2 linked regions of the Bombyx mori genome follow. The protein of the gene in region 1 interacts with the protein of each later gene in a biochemical or structural test. Links are inferred from orthologs where the notes say so. Each region holds a gene or a part of one and is shown in the gene's direction. Other genes may lie near its edges.

Region 1 (10,605 bases):
ATTCATATACAAATTAAAAATGTTCAGATCATTGCTTATTATTAGGTTTCAGTTTTCACAAATTGCAAATAAGACAAAATGTGCACAATACAAAAAAAAGTACTACATAATGCAAAAGTTAATTTGACAATATTTTTTAGGAAATGATTCACTTGTCTGTCATGTGTCACATCAGAAGGCTGGTGTTGTCAGCCATGATCTTTGGCTCGGCAGTACTATTCATGCTTTGGATGCCAATAAGGGTCATTAAATATGTGCTGCCCGGTTTCCTGCCATACACTGTCTCCGTTCATTCAGAAGCCCCAGTCAATGAATTAAGTTTGGAACTTCTTCTGCTTCAGGTAAGATTTAAATATGTTGTATGATAAATGATATGTTTTCAGTGTAATGTTTTAAGGAGGTTTAAATAAATATGGTGACTAATTATTTTCAGTAATTAGAAACATTTTGAAACAAATAGGAATAATATCATTAACCACATTATGTCATATACTTAATAAGTCGAAGGAAGTATGCCATTTAAATTGCATACATTCATTAGAACAAGGTGTTGTTCATGAATTATACTTCAGACATTGATATTCTTTGCATTTTATGTTTATTCTGATTTGGGAACATTTTAATATTTTCATTTATGTTGCTTGATGTAATGTTTTATAGACTCGTTGCGGCTTATAACTGAGTGTGTATAAATATTCAGAGAACACGCCACTTCCATATCTGGCTTTGTTTTTAGCAATTTGTGTATAAAGGTCCCGAAATGAAACTAGAAGTAGAACAGTTATTTAAAATGCGAATTTATTTTAATGATGATTCACTAAAGTAAACTACTTAATTGTTGCTTTACATTTATAACGGTCCTAAATCAATGAACTCTTACTCTATACAGCATTAAATAATTCTATTGATTGTTTAATGTGATTAAGTGATTTTTAAATCTTTTTTTACTAAAACAGTAATCTAATTGAATAAAGGTCATTCGAGGTTATTCGAAAATCCTAAATGTATTTGTATAGTAGCTAAGCGGAGTCGATGAACTTTATGAAAGCCATTTGTAGGAGATGAGCGTATGACTTACTTGCTGGTAACTACTTGGCAATGCTAACAGCTTACACGCTGTATACTAAGAAGAAATTTTTAGAGGCAATAAAAAAAAGGTCCTAACGTTAGAAAACATGTATTAAAGTTTTACTATAACTTTGCATAAATGTAGCAGTAAAAGCTGTAGGCAGTTGAATATTCATATTTTGTTAGCCAAGTCAGTTATGGTGGTAGGACCTCTTGAGAGGCAGGTAACCTGCCTATTTCCGCCGTGAAGCAGTAATGTGTTTCGGTTTGAAGGGTGGGGCAGCCGTTGGAACTTTACTTAAAACTTATATCTCAAGGTGGGTGGCGCATTTACGTTATGGATGTCTATGGGTTCCAGTAACCACTTAACACCAGGTGGGCTGTAAGCTCGTCCACTCTACTAAGCAATAAAAAAAATCGTACAAGTGGTATTGAAGACGGTCAATCGACGATAACAAATAGCTAACCGCCTTTATTTTCGGCAGGTGATCCTTCCAGCTCTTCTGGAGCAATCTCACACGAGGACGTGGTTAAAGATGGCGGTGCGAGCTTGGTGCGTGTGCGCTTCTGGTCTCCTCGGCTTGAGATCGTATCTGCTTGGCGAGATATCGCGACAGGCCGATCCTAATCCGCCCCCACATCTGCCTCATCAACTCGGTGTCGCTCATCAAGTAAGCTGAATAATTGTTTTTATAGACAGTGTAATAGGAAGGCATATACTAGTGCTATAATCTTCTTCTTCACCTTATTCCACTAGGTGAGTCGGCACAGCTAATTTTTCTCTTCCATTCTCTTCTATCAGCCGTCATCTCAACACTCACTGCTCTCTCTCTCTCTCTTATCGTCATTCACACACTATCCATGTTTTCTTCGGTTGACCTCTTCCCCCTCTACCTTGCACTACCATTTCCATATATCTCCTAGTCACATGTATCTTGTCTCTATGCACCACGTCACTAGTGCCATCATTATTTTTTTAAGGGATTTTATGACCTGGTCACTAAGACCTTCAAGTCATGAGTGCCATAATATCAACGAAAAAAAAAAAAAAACATTTTTCATAAATGTGAATGAGCCATTTTTTTTGAGATGGTTTTAAAGTGCTATTCGGATTAGATATGTGTCGTTCGCGAACGAACGAATCAAACGACCCGGGTCTCAAAATCCGCGCGAACGATAGGTTCACTTCAAAAAATATGAGTCGTTCACTAGATCGACTCGTTTAACAAAACCTACGAATCAGAAGAAAAGAACCATACGACTGATAGGACAGTCATTCGGATCATTTCGGGTTGCCGCGTCTCGCCCCGCGCCCATCTCGGTTAGTCGTTCGTTGTCGCATAATGACACATAACGCCTTTGTATTGTTTTGATCTCACGTAAACAATTGAACTATAACAGTTCCTTTAAACTGTTATTCAATACTAAACTTTATCCAGCCAGTGACCTGATAATATTAATTACGTCATAAATTGATGTGATACTGAACGTTCGACGTTCGAAACGTTCGACTGAACGCGTCGTACGAACCGGATCATTTTGTCAACAGGTCAGTATTGATCTGAATCTCTAAAATTGAACGAACGACACATGTCTAATTCGGATAAGCCCATAGACCGTGCGTTATCTCTCTTAAGACATGAGAAAATTTCAATTACGTTTTGTAATGACTGTCCTACGCTTAAAGGCGGGTCAAGTGACTGCTTCGCGGTGGAAACGAGCGATATGGTGGTACCTTGTGGTGCGTGCTTCAAATACGCCTCGGTAAAAGTTTAATATGTTGTCTCTTTCTCCCAGGCCCTGATGCGTCGCGACGGTCCAGCGGCGGTGGAGCCCTACATCCGCGTGTCGTGGTTCCCGCTAAGGTTGGCCGCGCTGCTTGTGCTGGTCTCTATTTCGCTCGTGTTAGCGAGTGCAATGACCCTTGTAAGCCTAACGTTATTATTGTTGTAATGTATTATTTTCGACAGTTTTTTTTACATTAATGATTTTTTTTACGTTAGGAAATTCGTCTGTAAGAGGTATTAGATCAATGAATAATTTTTTGTGTGATAATTTGATTTTAATTTCAGGTAATTCCAGTAGCGATCGGCAGAAAGGTGATGGCGCTGTGGATGCCTAAGGCGGCTGAGAGAGTTCACGAACTGTATACCGCTGCATGCGGTAAGTAAACAAAAAAAAAATATGTGTGGTGTCGTGGGACACCGGATAGGAACGAAGTTCCTTATTATAAAAATATTAATTTAAAGTTCTACTCGAGGTATAAAGAAAATAAAACTGGAGGTTTCGCAACAACCCACGTTCATTCGGTAACGTGCGAACTTATTGTGGTACACTTCATTCACGGTTTTTTGCATAAGAGTTGGTTGGTGTATTGCGCAAACGAACGCTCTGAGATCGTGGTCAATGAATGATAAAAAAATATGTTCTTTTTTGTACGTTATAACAAAGTTAAGTCGTACACTGTGTGCATTACTAATAAAAATCTTACGTTACGGACGTTATTTCCCGGTTAGGATACCCCTCCGCATCGTCCCGTAAGGAACTTCGTTACAAAAACAATTTTAAACGAATATAATAAACTCGGTTAAAATGATCAGAGCACTTAAAAAAGCGATAATTCGATCGAATTGCGTTTGTTTGCCTCCCTAATTTAATATAATATGTTATCAGATGCACGTAGCGTATGTTCCTATTCGCTGGATATAGGTTTCATGAAAATGAAACAGTTTGTTCCATATCGAAAAGTCGAATCGAGGCGAACAAAACTTGGGGTCAACAACCTCCCTCGGTCGCGCTTCAGTTAATATTTATTTGCGTTCCATTGCGTTCTGAATAAAAAGCCGGTAATGTTTAATTTGTTTGTCTCTTTAGTTCATTGGTTACTGGGTTATGTTTACTGTTACGGGTAACAAACACTATAATGTACATTTTAACTCAATGAATGTGGATATTTTTAGTTACACTTTACTTTATTTGTATATAAAGATGTCAATAAAATAGTTAACATATACATTGAAAAGTACAATGACGATCTTAATTTAGTGTTTTTTTTTTCTTCTGAAAACTAAAAACGGATCGAAATAATAAATAAATAAATAAAAACAAAAGAGAAAGGGAACAAAAATGCTATTTAAAAACATAAAAAACATAATAGTTAGCTCAACTAATCTTTTTTTGTCGAATTTTTTTTTTTTTTTTTTAAATTGGTTTTGATATAATGTCAACGGTCCTTGACCACGGTACGCTTGCAAGTTTTCAAGTTAATTTGATGTCCTGAAATTTGTGACAATTCCTTTGAAAGATGTGTTTGCATATATAGATGCATAGATATAGGTTGAGTGGTACTGTTACATAATAATATGTTCCTCAATAATAATGCAATATAAATAATAATGCAGACTAAGGCATTCCTGAATGCATCGTCTCTATATTTTATTTATTTCATTTACTTCAGATTTTGCATCCATATTACATTCATTAACATTTCATTTAGTATACTAGAATCAAATAAAAACAATAACTACAATCTCGGAATAAAACAAAAGACGATTTATTTCTAAAGCGCGGCAGAACAGAATTGGCTTAAGTAGCGGAAACACACATCGTTTGTTACTATTTCTTTTATAAAATAAACTCTTTATTCCTTGCTTTGAAGGGTGGACGAGCTCACAGCCCACCTGGTGTTAAGTGCTTATTATAGCCCATATACATCTACAAACGTAAATGCGGCCACTCACCTTGAGATTGATTTCTAAGGTCTCAGTATAGTTACAACGGCTGCCCCACCCTTCAAACCGAAACGCATTACTGCTTCACGGCAGAAATAGGCGGGGTGGTGGTACCTACCCGTGCGAACTCAAGAGGTCCTACCACCAGTAATTACGCAAATTATAATTTTGCGGGTTTGATTTTTATTACACGATGTTATTCCTTTCACCGTGGAAGTCAATCGTGAAGGTTTCTTAAATACGTATTTAATTAGAAAAATTGGTACCCGCCTGCGGGATTCGAACACCGTTGCATCGCTCGATACGAATACACCGGTCGTCTTATCCTTTAGGCCACGGCGACTTCAAACTCTCTCTCTCTCTCTTCAAAGACTCCGTGTCAGCCACAGTTTCCTTTTTACACGCTTTGTATTAGCTTCACTTGTCGCGCATCTTTAGACGCGATTTTGACCCACTTTAAACGGCCAGAATTCATTCAAACTTTGTAGATTTATCAAGGACCGATGACAATACACTAATTTGATAAGATTATTCCATTATTCAATTTGAAAATTAAGATTTTTGCCAATTTATATAATTTTTATCTATAGTCGATAAGGCAGGAATTGATGTTAAAGTACTTAATAGCTTTAAAAACTCTCTTTTATAGAAAATTTAACTAAAAAATAGAAAATAAATTGTAATAAATTTAAATTGAAAATAGTATAAAAAAATATATATTTTATTTAAAAAAAAGCGTGGTGTGCCATTAAAGATACTAGATGTCCCGCAGTAATCGAAATTCGACTATAATTAATTGGAATTGTAAGTTTGTACACTATTATGATTGTATTTTATACTTCTATAATCACAAATTTCGCCAAGGCTACACTATTAAAAAATATCAATAAAGAAAAACAATATTTAATCTATCCTCAATTTGACCACAGACGTCAAGAACAAAAGTTTGACAATAAATAGTATGCATGCGTGTGTGCGTCAAATACATGGTATGTAGTGTGTGTAATGTTTTCTTTATTGATTTACTGTATCTTTTATGCATTATTTAAAAAAATATTAGCATTGTGCACTTCTTCTCTATATTCTGTATAAGTGTGGAAAATTTCATACTCTATCGTCAGCGCAATTTTCGTAAAAAGGGATACAAAGTTTTTGCTTCACGTATTAATATATAGATTACTAGCGACCCGCCCTCGCTTCGCTTCGGAAACATTAAAACATACATGAAACCAAAAAAATTAAATAAAAAAAAAGTAGCCTATGTTCATCAGGGACAGTGTCGGCTTCTAATGGAAAAAGAATTTTTCAAATCGGTCCAGTAGTTTCGGAGCCTATTCGAAACAAACAAACAAACAAATCTTTCCTCTTTATAATATTAGTATAGATTGAAATAATAATTCTTCTACTCATATCTGTCAGAAAAATATTTATAACTAATAACAAACACCCATGTACCCCACGCTTTTTTTACAATAAAATATAATTTTTTTACACTATTTTCAATTTAAATTTATTAAAATTTATTTAAAATGAGCTCCTGGATCCACCCCGTCATGACAGTACGTCCTGTGCAGGTATGTACGTGAGCTGGGCGGCGGGGCGGGCGGGCGTGGCGGCGGCGGGGTGGGCGCGGGGCGGGGCGCGCGGGGGCCTGTGGTCGCGCGCCGCGGTGTGGGCCCGCACGGCCGCCCGCGCCGCGCTCGCCGCCGTGCTACTGCTCGGGCTGGTGCCGCTCATGTTCGGCTTGCTGCTCGAACTGGTCAGTTACAACATTATCTACACTTTTGGATCATTTTTTTGAAGTGAAAACTTCTTTAGAATCGTTGTGATTTCAAACCGGATGCAACGGAAAAAAACGACAGGTAAGAGACACAAATACAAAAATGTGTAGGATGAAGCCAGCAAAGAATGAGACAGAAATATACATACTATTTAATACAGCGCCATCTGTGAGATTTTTTAATACTAACGTGTGTATGAAAGCTCTTGTAGTGAATTTTAATTTAGGATTATACGTGAAATTAAAATATCAATTCACAGAGGGCGCTACCTTACAATTATTTACTAATGACAAAATTTTACATATACTTAAGACGTTTAGGATAATTGTATTTTAATTTTGGAAGGTTTCACTTCTACCACGTGTGAATTGCACACATTTTGTTTTTTCCTACCTAAGCTGATAGCTTAAATTATATCTCATAATATTTTTCGTTTCTAAGATCGGTCTTTAGGTGTGTGTCTTTAAGTTGACTTTCTACCTAGGTTCTCGTAATACCACTGAGCGTTCCCTTGGAGCAGTCCCCTGTGTTATTCGTGTGGCAAGATTGGGCTCTGGGCGTGCTGTATACGAAGATAATGTGCGCCCTCACGATGATGGGACCCGATTGGAGCATGCGCCGTGCCCTCGAGAAAGCGTACCGGGACGGCATCAGAGAAATGGATTTAAGGTTTGTTTTATTTTTGTTTTTTTTTTATTTTGTTTTTTATTGCTTAGATGGGTGGACGAGCTCACAGCCCACCTGGTGTTAAGTGGTTACTGGAGCCCATAGACATCTACAACGTAAATGCGCCACCCACTTTGAGATATAAATTCTAAGGTATAATTATTGCCTTTGTAGGCAGACGAGCATACAGCCCACCTGATGGTAAGTGGTCAGCGTCGCTCATGGACGTCAGCATTGCCAGGGGCAGAGCCAAGCCGCTGCCTACCATTAAGTACGTCGTCGCGGCCTAAAGGATAAGACGTCCGGTGCATTCGTTGTTGCGATGCACCGGTGTTCGAATCCCTCCGGCAAGTACCGATTTTTCTAATGAAATACGTACTCAACAAATGTTCACGATTGACTTCCACGGTGAAGGAATAACATCGTGTAATTAAAAATCAAACCCGCAAAATAATAATTTGCGTAATCACTGGTGGTAGGACCTCTTGTGAGTCCGCACGGGTAGGTACCACCACCCCGCCTATTTCTGCCGTGAAGCAGTAATGCGTTTCGGTTTGAAGGGTGGAGCGGCCGTTGTAACGATACTGAGACCTTAGAACTTATATCTCAAGGTGTGTGGCGCATTTGCGTTGTAGATGTCTATGGGCTCCAGTAACCACTTGACATCAGGTGGGCTGTGAGCTCGTCCACCCATCTAAGCAATAAAAAAATAAAAAGTACTCTTCCCAAGCCTCGTTTGAAGCAGGAGCTTTGAAATGTTTGCATATCTAGTGACGCTGTGGGCGTATCTTAGGAATCGCGTATTGATAAGATAAGGTAGCGCGGAGACGTCTAATTTTTTCGAAGTAACTAGCCAACCTTTACATTTCTCGGTTGGTATGTAATTTCACACGTCATCTCTGATCCTCCCGATCCACTAACGGTGCTTCTAGGTCCTCAAGCACCGGTCACCGTTCTCGTCGAACCCGTCGCTTGCGACGAAGGGCTCGACGAGTAAATTAACCCATAGACACAGCCCACTGAGTTATTCGCCGGATCTTCTCAGTGGGTCGCGTTTCCGATCCGGTGGTAGATTTTGCGAAGCACGGCTCTTGCTAGGGTTCGTGTTAGTAACGTCGTCAGGTTTGAGCCCCGTGAGCTCACCTACTAGTGAAGGTTACGCTGGAATAGCCTCTCAAGTCTACCAGCTTAGGTAGGAAAAAAAAATGTAATTTCACTACATGTGATGTCATTTTAGAGTGAAAAATAACGTGATACTAACAGAAACGCTAATAAACAACGAATACGGTGAACGTATGATATAGTAGGTTTTAGTTCGTGGTTCAACTTGACTTGAAAAATATACTACATCTTTTTTCATTGCTTGAATAAAAATAGTAAATTGTGCACCAAGGGAGAAAATTAGGTCATCTCCACCCGGGTGTAAAATGGCAAACACGCGGGATTAGATGTCCTGCTTTTTTCCCACGGTGCACGTACTATTTTTTCTCCTACTAGGTCGAAAGTTCGTAGAGTACCGAGCCGGGGTCCAGGGTCGAAGCCCTGGTAGGGGGTAGGGGGGGTAGAGTCTCCCCATACTCATAAAAAACAATTTAACTGTTTTTTAATTTTTAAATAAACTACTACTAATTAAATAAGAACTGTCTGATGAACTCATCTTTGTTTAATACTTTCACTATTAAATTTTATTGTCTTTTGTTTATTTCACCTTTACACTAAACACAATATTGCAAATTACCCGAGCACAACAATGGCCGAGAATTTTAGATGCGTGAGAGCAGACGTAGACACTGACGCGCATGTGCACTTGTAGTACCCAGGGAGGAGAAGTTACACTTTTAACCCTGTACAGCGGGAGTAAAAGTTAGACTTTCTTCCCTGTACAGCGGGAGGAAAACCGAACTTTCGGCGTAGGTAGGAGAAAAAAAAATTGTTTGAATTATCGTTTTTATTTAAATTTACGTCTTAAGTGCAAAACGAGGATTTCGAATCTTTTCGAGGTGGCCTAAGAAAAACCTAGACATCTACGTCGTGCGAATGTTGGAACATCAGTTTGATTTAGTGCAGGAAAGAGATGAATATATATCTGAGATGTCCTATTAATTACTGCTTTGACGGTTTTGTTATTCGCGAAGTCTCTTATTTGTGTATGTCGGCTCTTTGGTTTATTGATTTGCAAAACAAGTAACGTTGATTATAATATATCCCCTAACTATTTAATTATTCATTTTTAACTTAAGTAGCTCTTTGTTTTTTGAACATTGTTGTTTGTTTGTGTGGTTCCAATAGGTATAATTTGATGGTGCATGTGTGTGTAGGTTTATCGTGGGGTCGGTGGGTGCCCCGCTGGTGCGGTGGCTGGGGCTGGCGCTGGCGGTGCCGTACGCGGCGGCGCACAGCGTGGCGCCCGTGCTGGTGTCAGGGGCCGCCCAGCGCAACCTGCTCGTGCGCCGCCTCTACCCCGCGCTGCTCCTCGCCGCGCTCTTCGCCTCGCTAGCGGCCTTCCAGGTAACACCACCACCACCACCACCATCACTACCGCCTATATAATATCTATGTTACGTAAAACGTTACGTTTTGGCGAGATCTGTAACTACAGAAGTATTTGACAATAGAACCTTAATAATTTTCAAACTTATAATTTCAATTAATTCTAGTCGAATTTCGACTACTTGGCGACCACTAGTATAGTATTAGATATCTATGGAGCTAGTATTAAATAAATACGAACGGATCTTTATTCGCAGATCCGCCAATTCAGAAAACTATACGAACACATAAAGAACGACAAGTACCTGGTAGGTCAGCGGCTCGTGAACTACGATCACCGGAGACAGAAGCAGCAGCACAGCAGTGCCGTCACGTCGACAAACTGAAGCCTGTTCGCTCCGTGCCTCTAAAAATTTATATCGATCTCATTCTAAGGGCCTCTGTCTAGGAGCGGCGTTTTCTCGACGATTCTGAAGTCGAAACTTCTCTCGTACTTTCCTCCTTTCCCATTAAGAACGATAAATAAAAAGGTTGCTTTTAGTAAAGGAAACAAAAAGATAAAAAATAATTGAACTGATATTTTATTTGTTCCCACATCGACCTGTATAATGAAAAGCAATTTTAAAAATATCTATATACGATTCAATTTGTATTAATTATTAGCATAAATTTTACCGTCTTCACCTCGTTCTCTAACCTTCTCTTCTGAACTATTCTAATACAACGAAAATTTTATTGTCACCTTAACTGCCAACGGTCGTCGTCGGCGCGTCGCCGGAAAATCGTTACTTTGACCTAAAGGTCTTAGTTACCAGGTCATAAAATTCCTTAAAAAAAAAAGAAAATCGCTACTCTAACAAAGCACCGTT
Region 2 (10,705 bases), on another chromosome or scaffold:
GTACGGCTAAATCATGTCGGGGGGGAAACCACCCCCAACCATCAGCACACCCGGTCCGTCTCAAAAGGGACTTCAAGTGATAGCGAGTACATCAATGTACCGCCCTGTGCCCGTCCTGTACAAGCCCGGGCCCTCGGTCGCGGCCCAGGAGTCTCCGAGGATCGGTCCGGGGGAAAGTTTCTTTCCCTTACCGGCCGATAACTCTGGGACCTCTCGGCCGCGAAAGAAGGCCAGGTCTGAGTCCGACCGAAGTTCTGCAGAGGGTGTAGATAAACGACCCCGTATTGGACCTTCGTCCAAATCCTTAGTCGAGGACGACGAGGACGACGACAGCGAGGCGACGACTTCCTCTTATGAAACGTCCGAAATAGAGGCAGACACCGACACAGAACACAAGACATCCAACCCCTCGCGTACCTCCTCTTCGAGGGTGGAGTCCTCTCCCCCCTCCAAACCAATTCCCAAGCCGAGGAAGTGTTTAGGGACAGTGGAGAGCCCACCAGCCAAGCAGCTGCGTACGCCTCCTCGGTCTCCTTCTCCTACCATCTCCCCCATTCCAACGGATAGGCCAAGAGGTGCCCCCACCACAGGCTGCATGGTGGGCAACCTAGAATCGACTAGGTACATGGACCTTGAACCCTCCGTCTCCAATTCCAAACCAATCCCTATCCCAAACCCCTCACCAGTCCCCTCCACCTCATACGCGACTGTAGCAGCCACGCGACCCGTACCCACCCAACAACACCAACAACACACCCACCAGAGTTCCACTGCCCCAAATAGGTCGCGCACTAAAGAGGAGCCCCGCCGTCATCCACCTATTATGGTGGAAGTGCTCCCAAATTGGTCCCGCCATATGGCGGCCATCAGGGAGCGCTTGGGGAGGGCACCCTCCGTGCGCCCTTACGGAACAGGGTTCAGATTTCTGCCAGCGTCGGCAGAGGAATATAGAGTGGTCCAGGCCTACCTTGCCGGGGTCTCCTCAGCGGACAGTGCCATCAAATGGTATTGCTACGCGTTGGAGGAGGACATCCCGACAAGGGTGGCTATTCGCGGACTACCTGCCGACACCGACGCGGCAGAAATCACAAATTCCTTGAAGGAGCTGGGGTTTCCGGCTCGCTATGCCCGATGCATACGGGCTAAGAGAGGGAGGCCGGGGTGCGTATTTTACGTTACCCTCGACCACCTCTCTAAGGATGGCCTCGCCCGCTTGTACGCAGTTGAAGAACTGCTGTACCTGCCGGGGGTGTCAGTTGAGGGATGGCGGCCAAGCCGTGGGCCGGCGCAGTGTCACCGCTGCCAGGCCTTCGGTCACGCCTCCACCAATTGCCACCGAGCGGTCCGCTGTGTGCGTTGTGCGGGTGAGCACATCGTGGCGAACTGCCCGAGGCCGAGGGAGGGGCCCTTCACCTGCGCCAACTGCGGAAAGGACCACGCAGCCGTTGACAAACGGTGCGTGGCCTACCGTAGGAGGGCGAGGATGTTGGGTTTTACCGTCCCCCCTCCCGTACCACCGGTGCCGCGCGCCCGGAGGCCTCCAGCTCCTGCAGTACCAACACCATCTCAAGCAACTTCGACTCAAGTTCCGGCCGCTAGAGTCGTATCAAGTAAGGGCAAGGGCAAAGGGAAATCGTCCCAAGCCCCAATTCTCGCCCCAACTCCCACCTTACACTCACGGCAGCCCAACCTAGTGGAGTCGAATCCAGCAGCCTCCACACTGATGGCACCGGCTAACGCTGCCCGACCGGCCGTTAGACCTCAACCGGCACCAAGAATTATATCAAAAAAAAATAAAAAAAATAAAAAAAAGAAAGAGAAAGCCAAAGAGAGAAAGCGAGCGCAAAGACTAGCCGCCAATATCCCACCCACCCCAGTAGAGAGAATGACTCCAACTCCAATTTCTGTGCCAATGGAGGTCACAGAAGCAACGCCCCTCCCTACAACCAATACAATACCAACACCAATTGCAATCCACGCTCAGCCCCAAGAAAATTCGGTCGACGTGGGTATGACTCAGCCCCCACTACCACCCCGCCCGCAGAGGGAGCGGCGCAGCGGCAGACAGGACACGCAGCCTGCCGGCTTCGCTGCCTGGCTCCTCTCCCTGTGGGAGAAACTGTCCGAGGTGATCTCCGGAGTGATCCGAGAGATCGCCTCGGGAGCCAGTCCCTTCGGGGCCTTGCTCGCGGGGTTCTACCGGATGATTGCGCAGCTCAATGGCTAGCCAGGAGCTGCGCATCATCTACTGGAACCCCGACGGGATAGGGTCCCGGAGGTCGGAGCTCATCCGACTCGCCCAGGAGTATGACCCGCAGGTTATCCTCCTGGGCGAGACCAAGCTTAAACCTCGACAAGATTTTAGGATGCCCAACTACTTCGTGTACCGACGGGACGAACTGACCTCCAACGGGCGCCCGTTCAGGGGCACTGCGGCGCTCGTCAGGAGGGACGTGGTGCACGAGGAGCTTGAGCTACTGACCTTCGCCTCTACCAGAACGGTCGGGGTGAGGGTCCACGTACCGGGAGCCGAATTGCGGATTTATGCCGCGTATCGACCCCCGGGTCCTGATTTTGTCGAGGACGATATTAGACGGGCCTTGAACCATGATCGCCATCCGGCCTTGGTGGTCGGGGACCTCAATGCGAAACATGTCGCTTGGGGCTCCCGAATCATCATGCCGCCCGGAAGGCGATTGTACGAGGATGCCGAAAGGGGGGACTACTGCGTGGTCGGCCCCAACGAACCCACCCACGTTCCAACGTTGGCCCGGTACCAACCGGACGTTTTGGACGTGTGTGTTCACAAGGGGCTACGGTGCCCGCTAGCGATAGAGGCACTGTACGACCTGAGTACCCCTCACCTACCGATCTTGGTCACGGTGGGTTTGGGGCTCACTCGGGTCGCGACATCCCCTCTCAGGCCTAGGGTCGACTGGCAGTCCTTTACGGGACTGCTGGCCGACCAATCCTTGTTTCAAGACCCGTCTACCCCTGATGAGGTCGACACGGCGGCCTCCCGTCTCGTCGACACCATCAGGGGAGCCCTGGACCAAGTGACGACTCTGGTACCCAGCGGGGGGCCCAGAGCGGAACTCCCGGTGCACCTCAAGACGTTAATTCGTCGGAAGAGGGCACTGAGGAGGCTCTGGGCGACATCTAGGTGTCCCAGGATTAAGCGCGAGCTCAACCGACTTGAGGGTGAGCTGGCGACTAAGATGCGGACTTACCGGGGTGATTCCTGGGAGGGGGGACTGTTGGACGCGTCCGACGACCGTACGATGGTCCCCCTTCACCGCATCTGTCGCCGGCTCACCAACAAGCCTTCCCCCACTTGCCCCTTGGAGGACGAGGGGGGAAGACGGTGTTTTACACCGTTGGCTCGTGCTGAAGTCCTGGCCAACTCGCTGGAGCGGCAGTTCACTCCGAATGTCTCTGCACCCTCGATGGCTGCATTCCATCGCGAGGTGTCAGAGAGCGTAATCCAACTCCTCAAACCGGAATCGCCGGGAGTCGAGCTGGGAGATGAAGACTTAGTCACTCCCAGCGAGGTGCGCCTCCTCATCAAGTTGATGAAGAGGCGCAAAGCCCCCGGCGAGGACGGTATTCCTCCCCTCGCCTTACAAAACCTCCCTCCCTCAATCGTGTCAGCAATGACACGATTGTTTAATTCCATTCTCCGGGTAGGACACTTCCCTGGAACTTGGAAACTGGGCAAGATCATCGTCTTGCCCAAACCCGGCAAAGACAGGAGAAAGCCCTCCAGTTACCGACCGATTACCTTGCTCTCGCACGTGGGCAAGTTGTTCGAGCGGCTGCTCCTGAGGAGAATATCGCCGTATATTCTCCTCAGGCCGGAGCAATTCGGCTTTAGAAGCGGCCACTCGACGACTCTGCAACTGACCCGTGTCCTGCATCACTTGGCGGACCGGCGAAACTCGGGCCAATACACGGTCGCGGTCCTTCTCGATATCGAGAAGGCCTTCGACCGTGTGTGGCACGAGGGGCTGGTCCACAAGCTGCGGGACGCGGGCCTACCGCACGCTCACGTGCGACTGCTCGGGTCGTATCTGGAGGGCAGAACCTTCTTTGTCGCGGTCGAGGGCGCACGGTCTTCCGTGCGTCCCATTACGGCCGGGGTTCCCCAGGGTAGTGTCCTATCTCCTATCCTATACGCCCTCTATACCAATGACATCCCCACCCTGGAGGGTCACCTTCGGGCGTGGGAGGAGGACGTGAAGTTGGCCTTGTTCGCTGACGACTCGGCCTACTTCTCGTCCTCTCCGTTCCCCTCTGCAGCCATCATGAGGATGCAGAGGCTTTTGGATTTACTGCCCCAGTGGCTGGACCGTTGGAGAGTCGCGGTCAATGTGGGAAAGACCGCGGCCTTACTCTACGGTCCGGTCCGTATCAGAGTTGTCCCAAAGAAACTCAGCCTCCGAGGTGTGAATGTCGAGTTCAGGACCACGGTCCGGTACCTCGGATGCGACATCGACCGCTCTTTGAGCATGGTCGCGCACGTCAACCGAGTCATCGGTCAGGCCCGCGCGGCCATGTTCTTGTTGCGGCCGGTGTTTGCGTCCGGGCTTCCGACCAGGACCAAACTCGCCATTTAAAAGACATACGTCCGTTCCCGCCTCACATACGCTGCTGTGGCCTGGTATCACCTGTTGTCGCCGTCCCAGCGATCTAGGTTGCAGGCCCAGCAGAGTCTTTCCCTCCGCATTATCGTCGGGGCCGGGCAGTACGTCAGAAATGACGTTATTGCCCGGGACCTAGGTGTGGAGTCGCTCGTGGAGGCTGCACCCCGTAGGTGCAGCCTCATTTCCATGAAGGGCTTTGACCCCACCCCCCACCCCCTTTTGGGATGGGGTGTTCTTACCCGCTGCAGTCCTCCCCCCCATCAATATTGTATAACGATGGGGAGAGGGGGAGAGGACTGCAGCGCGGAGTGCGGATTTGCTCTCTCCCCCATATTAGGTTAAGTTAGATTAGGATTAGGTTTAGGTGTGACGGCGCGCGCTGTCCCGGCACTCCACGGAGTGCAGGAGCGGCGCGCTGTCGTCGCTTAGATGTAAGTTAGATTAAGTTAGGTGTACTTTAGGTTAAGCTAGGATAAGATAAAATTGTAAAAAAAAAAAAAAAGAAAAAAAAAAAAAAAAAAAATAAAAAAAAAAAAAAAACAATATGGAGGAGAGCAGCAGCCGCCCCCGGAAGAAGAAGGAAGAAAGAAGATGAAGAAGTGAAGACAGAAATCGTCCCACCACTTACCTCGAGCCTGTATACAGTCCATCCCGCAGTGCATCACCCCTGCCTTAATAGGCGGGGAGCTACAAGTCCGGGTAGAGGGGTTTCCCCGAGGCCCGCTCCGCGCCCCCGTAAGGGGACGCGACGACCCCACGACTGCAAATTCAGTTCGAGACAGCGAGCCGACGAGTCAAGACCTCTCCAGAAGAAGAGGAGAGAGCCGTCGAACAAGAAAAGACTCGCTCCTACGCCCTGCGCCGGTCAAGCCACGAGGACCGTGTGAACGCCATACTTGAAGCCTTCGTTATTTTCCTCGAACCAATCCCAGCACCCGTTCCGCGACAGCCACTGCGGCAATACTCGAGCCACCACGTTTCAACGAGTAAGAAGTCTAAAAATCACACGTGGTGGCCGAAACCTGAGCGGTGGCCGTCCGGAATATTAACCTATTAAGTTAACCTCTGGTGTTACGTTGCTTATTTATTTAAGCTAGTAATAATAAGCTTATTAAATCAAATTTACCCGCTGATTATTGACACCGAAAGCACATTATTGGGTGGGCTAACCAAAAACCAAAATCATCCAAAGGAATCTTTTAATCTTGGAATGCCTTGCCGTAACCACAGGTTACTATGGGATACTGCATTTTGTTATACGAAAATGCAAACAATGAATTAAGAAAAAATGTGTGTTTTATTAATTAAGTAGTTATTTGTGCAATAAGAAACTTTGCTCTCGTGTAGCACACATAACTTCTACCTCAGCAGTGAGAAAGTGAGAACACATAACTTAGGAGACATAGATGAACAGGAAAAGATTGAAATAACTAATAAATTCCAAAATCTAATTTCGAAGGAGTTTGTTTTTTCACTCGCTTTTTTATACGCATGTGAAAGAGATAGAGCACAGTAAACTTCGAATGTTTCAAATTAATGGCTGAACAATGTCAGTTCGTGGCACTGAAGATTGAAAACTTAAAAAGCTACTTTGATCCAAGCTCGAATCAAAATCGCGTTTTGTTCAATGTTGTCTCACAGCAAAAGCTACATATTTGAGCTGCTGAGGTGAAAAGGTATTTTAACGGTCTATTTTGATACATATGGTCCATTCCATTTAAAGTTTTTTTTTGTGATTATAGGTTATAAGGATAAGGATAAGATAAGGATATAAGGCTATTCCATTCAAACAAAAAATATTTTGTTTTGTAAACAAAAGTAGCTCATTTAAATATCGGTTTTACAATACATGTTTGTTCACTTTTTAGAGTAGTCTGTTAGGCTTTTCTTTTAAACGCGAGATACGTTGCACTATAAGTACCATTACTGTCAACAATGTTAAATGTCTACCTTGCTTGCTCTACTCTGTGCCATTGTGATATTGCTATTTGTCGTATGTACATTACATACCCATTTATTAACTAAAACAGATTGGTTTTAAGAAATGAAAACATTTTGTATGTAGTCATTTGCTATAAAACATTTTACTCGAAGAACTGTAAACACTCAAAAGTTAACAATTCATGTGAACATGGCAAAAACAAAGGTGACAGGAGCCACTAGCAGATTGAAGCAGGATTATTTGAGGCTCAAGAATGACCCAGTACCATATGTTACGGCCGAACCTGTGCCGTCCAACATACTGGAATGGCATTACGTCGTTAAAGGGCCGGAGAAAAGTCCCTACGAAGGGGGATATTATCATGGAAAGATTATTTTCCCAAGGGAATTTCCGTTCAAACCACCTTCGATTTACATGATAACACCGAATGGCAGGTTCAAGACAAACACACGATTGTGCCTCAGTATTACAGACTTTCATCCGGACACTTGGAACCCTGCTTGGTCTATTTCTACGATCCTTACAGGTCTGTTGAGTTTTATGTTGGAGAAGACTCCTACATTGGGGTCCATTGAAACTTCAGAATACCAAAAGCGATGTTTGGCTGCAGAATCTCTAGAGATAAACATAAAAAATAAAATGTTTTGTGAATTGTTCCCTGAATATGTAGAGGAGATTGAACAGCAATTAAAACAACGACAAGAGGCAATGTTGTTGAATCAAGACAGTGGTGCAAATGAAGTAACCTCTGAGCCACAGTCTAGTATGAATTGTATTTTGACAAATCTGTTTGTTCTTGTAGCTTTTGTATGCCTTACTTACATGGTCAAACATGTTTTAGGATCATATGAATAGTCTTAAATTTATCTTATTGAGCAAAAGAAACAAAATTCACATCTGCCGGCTGGTCTTTTGTTTTTTAAATGTTTATAATTACATTTATTTGCTCTACAAATGCAATGTACATATTGTAATTTATTTTGTAAATAATTGTTATTCAATCTTGAAATAAACCCATGTTTGACCTTAAATAAAACTTGATTTTATGTAGGTAACAATGTATAGAGTTTAACATGCATTGCATGAGGAATGTCTACTAAGGTTTTGCTACTTTTACCGTGTCATTTATTTTTAAATGTATTCAACAACAAGCCTTTATTTGAAGACCGAAAGAGCTGTTAAAAATAAAGATTGAAACAAATTTATATGAATCTTGAAAAGCTGACTATAGACAGCAATACCTATGGTGATTAATAACTAGGTATACTACTATATAACTAATTTATTGAATTGGAGTAATTGTTACGTGAGTAAATTAAATTTTATGATTTTATTTAATTTTTTCAATTATTCCCTAAGAAACTAAATTTCAATGTAAAAATATATATGGTGAAATCTAATAAATTTTTGTAAGCAGGATTTCTAATAAAGGTTTTTTTTAACAAATCTTAGTAGTGTTCAACAAAATATTTAGGCATTTTCAGTATTGTATACAGTATGCATTAAATATGATTTTCTATAGTAGAAAAAGTTGAACCATGGACCTTTTAATGCTAAAGTACACAATAATAAAGCAATACAAGGTTTAAGACTTGAATGAATATATGTCAAATCACCATAAATTGAGCAAGATATGTTTTGTTATGTATCATCATACTATTTAGATTTGACCCTAAAATGTGAGCTATTAAAACTCAATTTATAAAAAAATGTCCTTACCTGAGATTGCACATCAGAAATATTTATATTTACGGAATTCACATTCAAATGCATGCTTAATTTCTTTATACTGTTCAAAACGTTTTTATGCTAAGTATATGTTACACCTATGTAATTATTGTGATTTTATGTGATGAATCTTCGTGAATTAATATAGTGGTTTGTCATTGTTAGTAAATGCTAGCCCATTTGCCTTTTGTAGTCCAACATTTAATGTTAATATCACATAGATTAATTTAGTCTTCACTGAGATAAATTATATATACATATAAAGATATGTTGGTACATTTTATGATTTCTTGAATATTATTTATATCACTTGTAATGAGCCTTGTCGTCGTTTACGAATTTCGACCATAAATCTAATAAATTTGTACGGAAAATGAAAGGCATTTTATCTACCTTTAGGTTTGTCTAAACTTTATACGTAATGGGTTTTGAGCTCACCAGCATTAACATAGAAGTTGGAAAGCACGTATTATAGTTTTTAGAACATGCATAACTATTGTTGAACTATTGAGATGAAGAAATGTTGGAAAGGATGTTGACAAAGGTTCATATTATTTTATTCTATTCATCTGCAACATTTTTCTTTATTATGACGAAATTTACTCACAGCCCAGAAATATTACTAAGACACTTTTTATATGCAGACATGCATACGGCCCACGTGATGGTGGTAGTTACCGTCGCTCATGGACGTCAGTGATGCCAAAGGTACAGCCAAGTCTGCCCATGCTGAGGGTTCTCCTCAAAGCACGTTACAATTTTTTACTTTCAGTTTCAACTTAGCAATTTCTATTTTGTGATAAATGTCCATTTCCTATTCCACGGGAAACAGAGACTCTTACACATATGTATAAAATATATACTTATTAAATACCCAGATAAGTCGATGTAGCCGAAAATGATAAGTCACCCGATACATTCGTACTGTGACTGTAATCTAGTTCGAATCCCGCAGGCAAGTACCACAAGATAGGTAGGTACATATGTATATTAATTGAGAATTAATTTTTATTTTTATTTGGTTTATATACTATATACTTATATATATTATGGCACACATAACAAGGCCGATGCTAGAATACATTAATTGAATAAAACGGTCCGATTATCCTGGTCAGGATCTTCAGGACTAAGCAAAGGGTTTTCTTAATCACACCCATGCTTGCAATAAGCATTAAATGTAAATTGTCCCTTCGTAATAATATTACGAAGACAATTTACTTCGCTTAATACTAATAAGGTGACACTTAGGTCTATGGTGACACTACAAAACTTACGTACGCCCGGTCATGACTTATGCAAGTGTAGTGTCGCTGACGCCGCTCGCACTAATTTGAAATTTTGAAACCTCTTCAAGTCATTCAATCCCGTTTTTGCAAAATAGCCGTCGGAGTACCATGGTCTTTGAAGAATGTGGATCTCCATGATGGTCTGGAACTTGACTCGATCAGTAAGTATTATATACAGTCGGCATCAATGCGCCACTTTAAGAAGGCGGTACGACACGAAAACCCTCGTGGTCGATGGAAATTACATACCGTGGATCGAACGCTAAATCGTCCTAACACATCATTACGAAAGGGCTCGGCGATTAAATTAATCCATAGACACACCCACTGAGTTTCTCGCCGGATCTTCTCAGTGGGTTGCGTTTCCGATCTGGTGGTAGATTATGCGAAGCACTGCTTTTGCTAGGGCCAATGTTCTAGGCCAGTGGCCAGCAACATCTCCGGTTTGAGCCCCGAGAGATCACCTACATGCTAGGGTAAAGCTGATATAGCCTATCAAGGCTATCAGCATAGGTAGGGAAAAAAAAACATTTTTTTACTATTTTCTATTTTTGAGTACAGCTAGCTACAAAAGTGTATTTTGGTTACTGTTATTTATTATAAATAAAATGTACTACGCTGAGTATTAGCTTTACAGCGACACTTAATGGAACTTTGAGCTCATGTCAATCGACAACAACGAAGGGCCTCATTCATGTTGATCTGTATAGGATTTGGTAACTACAGTACACAAGATTTACCTTCAGAATGTTCACCCATCTTAAAATAGATGGCTACAATACTCGTTGTCGCAGTTAGAATCGTTGAAAATTCAAGAGTAAACTGATAAAATAATAATTATTACATATAGGTACGTTTTATTTGTTTTCTTATTTAGATATTGTTTGGTCTTGTAGTTGGAGGTTACTCTACAGCAGAGCGAGCTAGATGTTCGGTCGGAGTCCATATTTTAGTTAAAACTATTTTACCTATATATTTTTTTTGCTTTTCCTACCTAAGCTGATAGCCGTGAGAGGCTATTTCAGCGTAACCTGAACTAGTAGGTGAGCTCACGGGACTCAAACCTGACGACGTTGCTAACACGAACCCAAGCAAGAGCCGTG

What was found.
Region 2: the proteins of E3 ubiquitin-protein ligase MARCHF6 (region 1) and ubiquitin-conjugating enzyme E2 J2 form a complex in vitro, tested with the Homo sapiens proteins (2 studies listed by BioGRID, with this or other methods). The link is inferred for Bombyx mori from reciprocal best matches to the Homo sapiens genes MARCHF6 and UBE2J2.

Annotation. Positions count from the first base shown.
Region 1 is NC_085117.1:16,834,488-16,845,092, reverse strand, and holds part of E3 ubiquitin-protein ligase MARCHF6, read left to right. Parts: intron 1-140; coding exon 141-341; intron 342-1,553; coding exon 1,554-1,739; intron 1,740-2,865; coding exon 2,866-2,994; intron 2,995-3,140; coding exon 3,141-3,231; intron 3,232-6,373; coding exon 6,374-6,558; intron 6,559-7,064; coding exon 7,065-7,249; intron 7,250-9,564; coding exon 9,565-9,754; intron 9,755-9,993; coding exon 9,994-10,122; 3' UTR 10,123-10,605. UniProt on the Homo sapiens protein: Endoplasmic reticulum membrane-associated E3 ubiquitin ligase that plays a critical role in mitigating endoplasmic reticulum stress, the regulation of cholesterol and lipid homeostasis, and ferroptosis.
Region 2 is NC_085127.1:11,024,202-11,034,906, reverse strand, and holds ubiquitin-conjugating enzyme E2 J2, read left to right. Parts: upstream 1-4,956; 5' UTR 4,957-6,774; coding exon 6,775-7,440; 3' UTR 7,441-8,692; downstream 8,693-10,705. UniProt on the Homo sapiens protein: Catalyzes the covalent attachment of ubiquitin to other proteins. Seems to function in the selective degradation of misfolded membrane proteins from the endoplasmic reticulum (ERAD).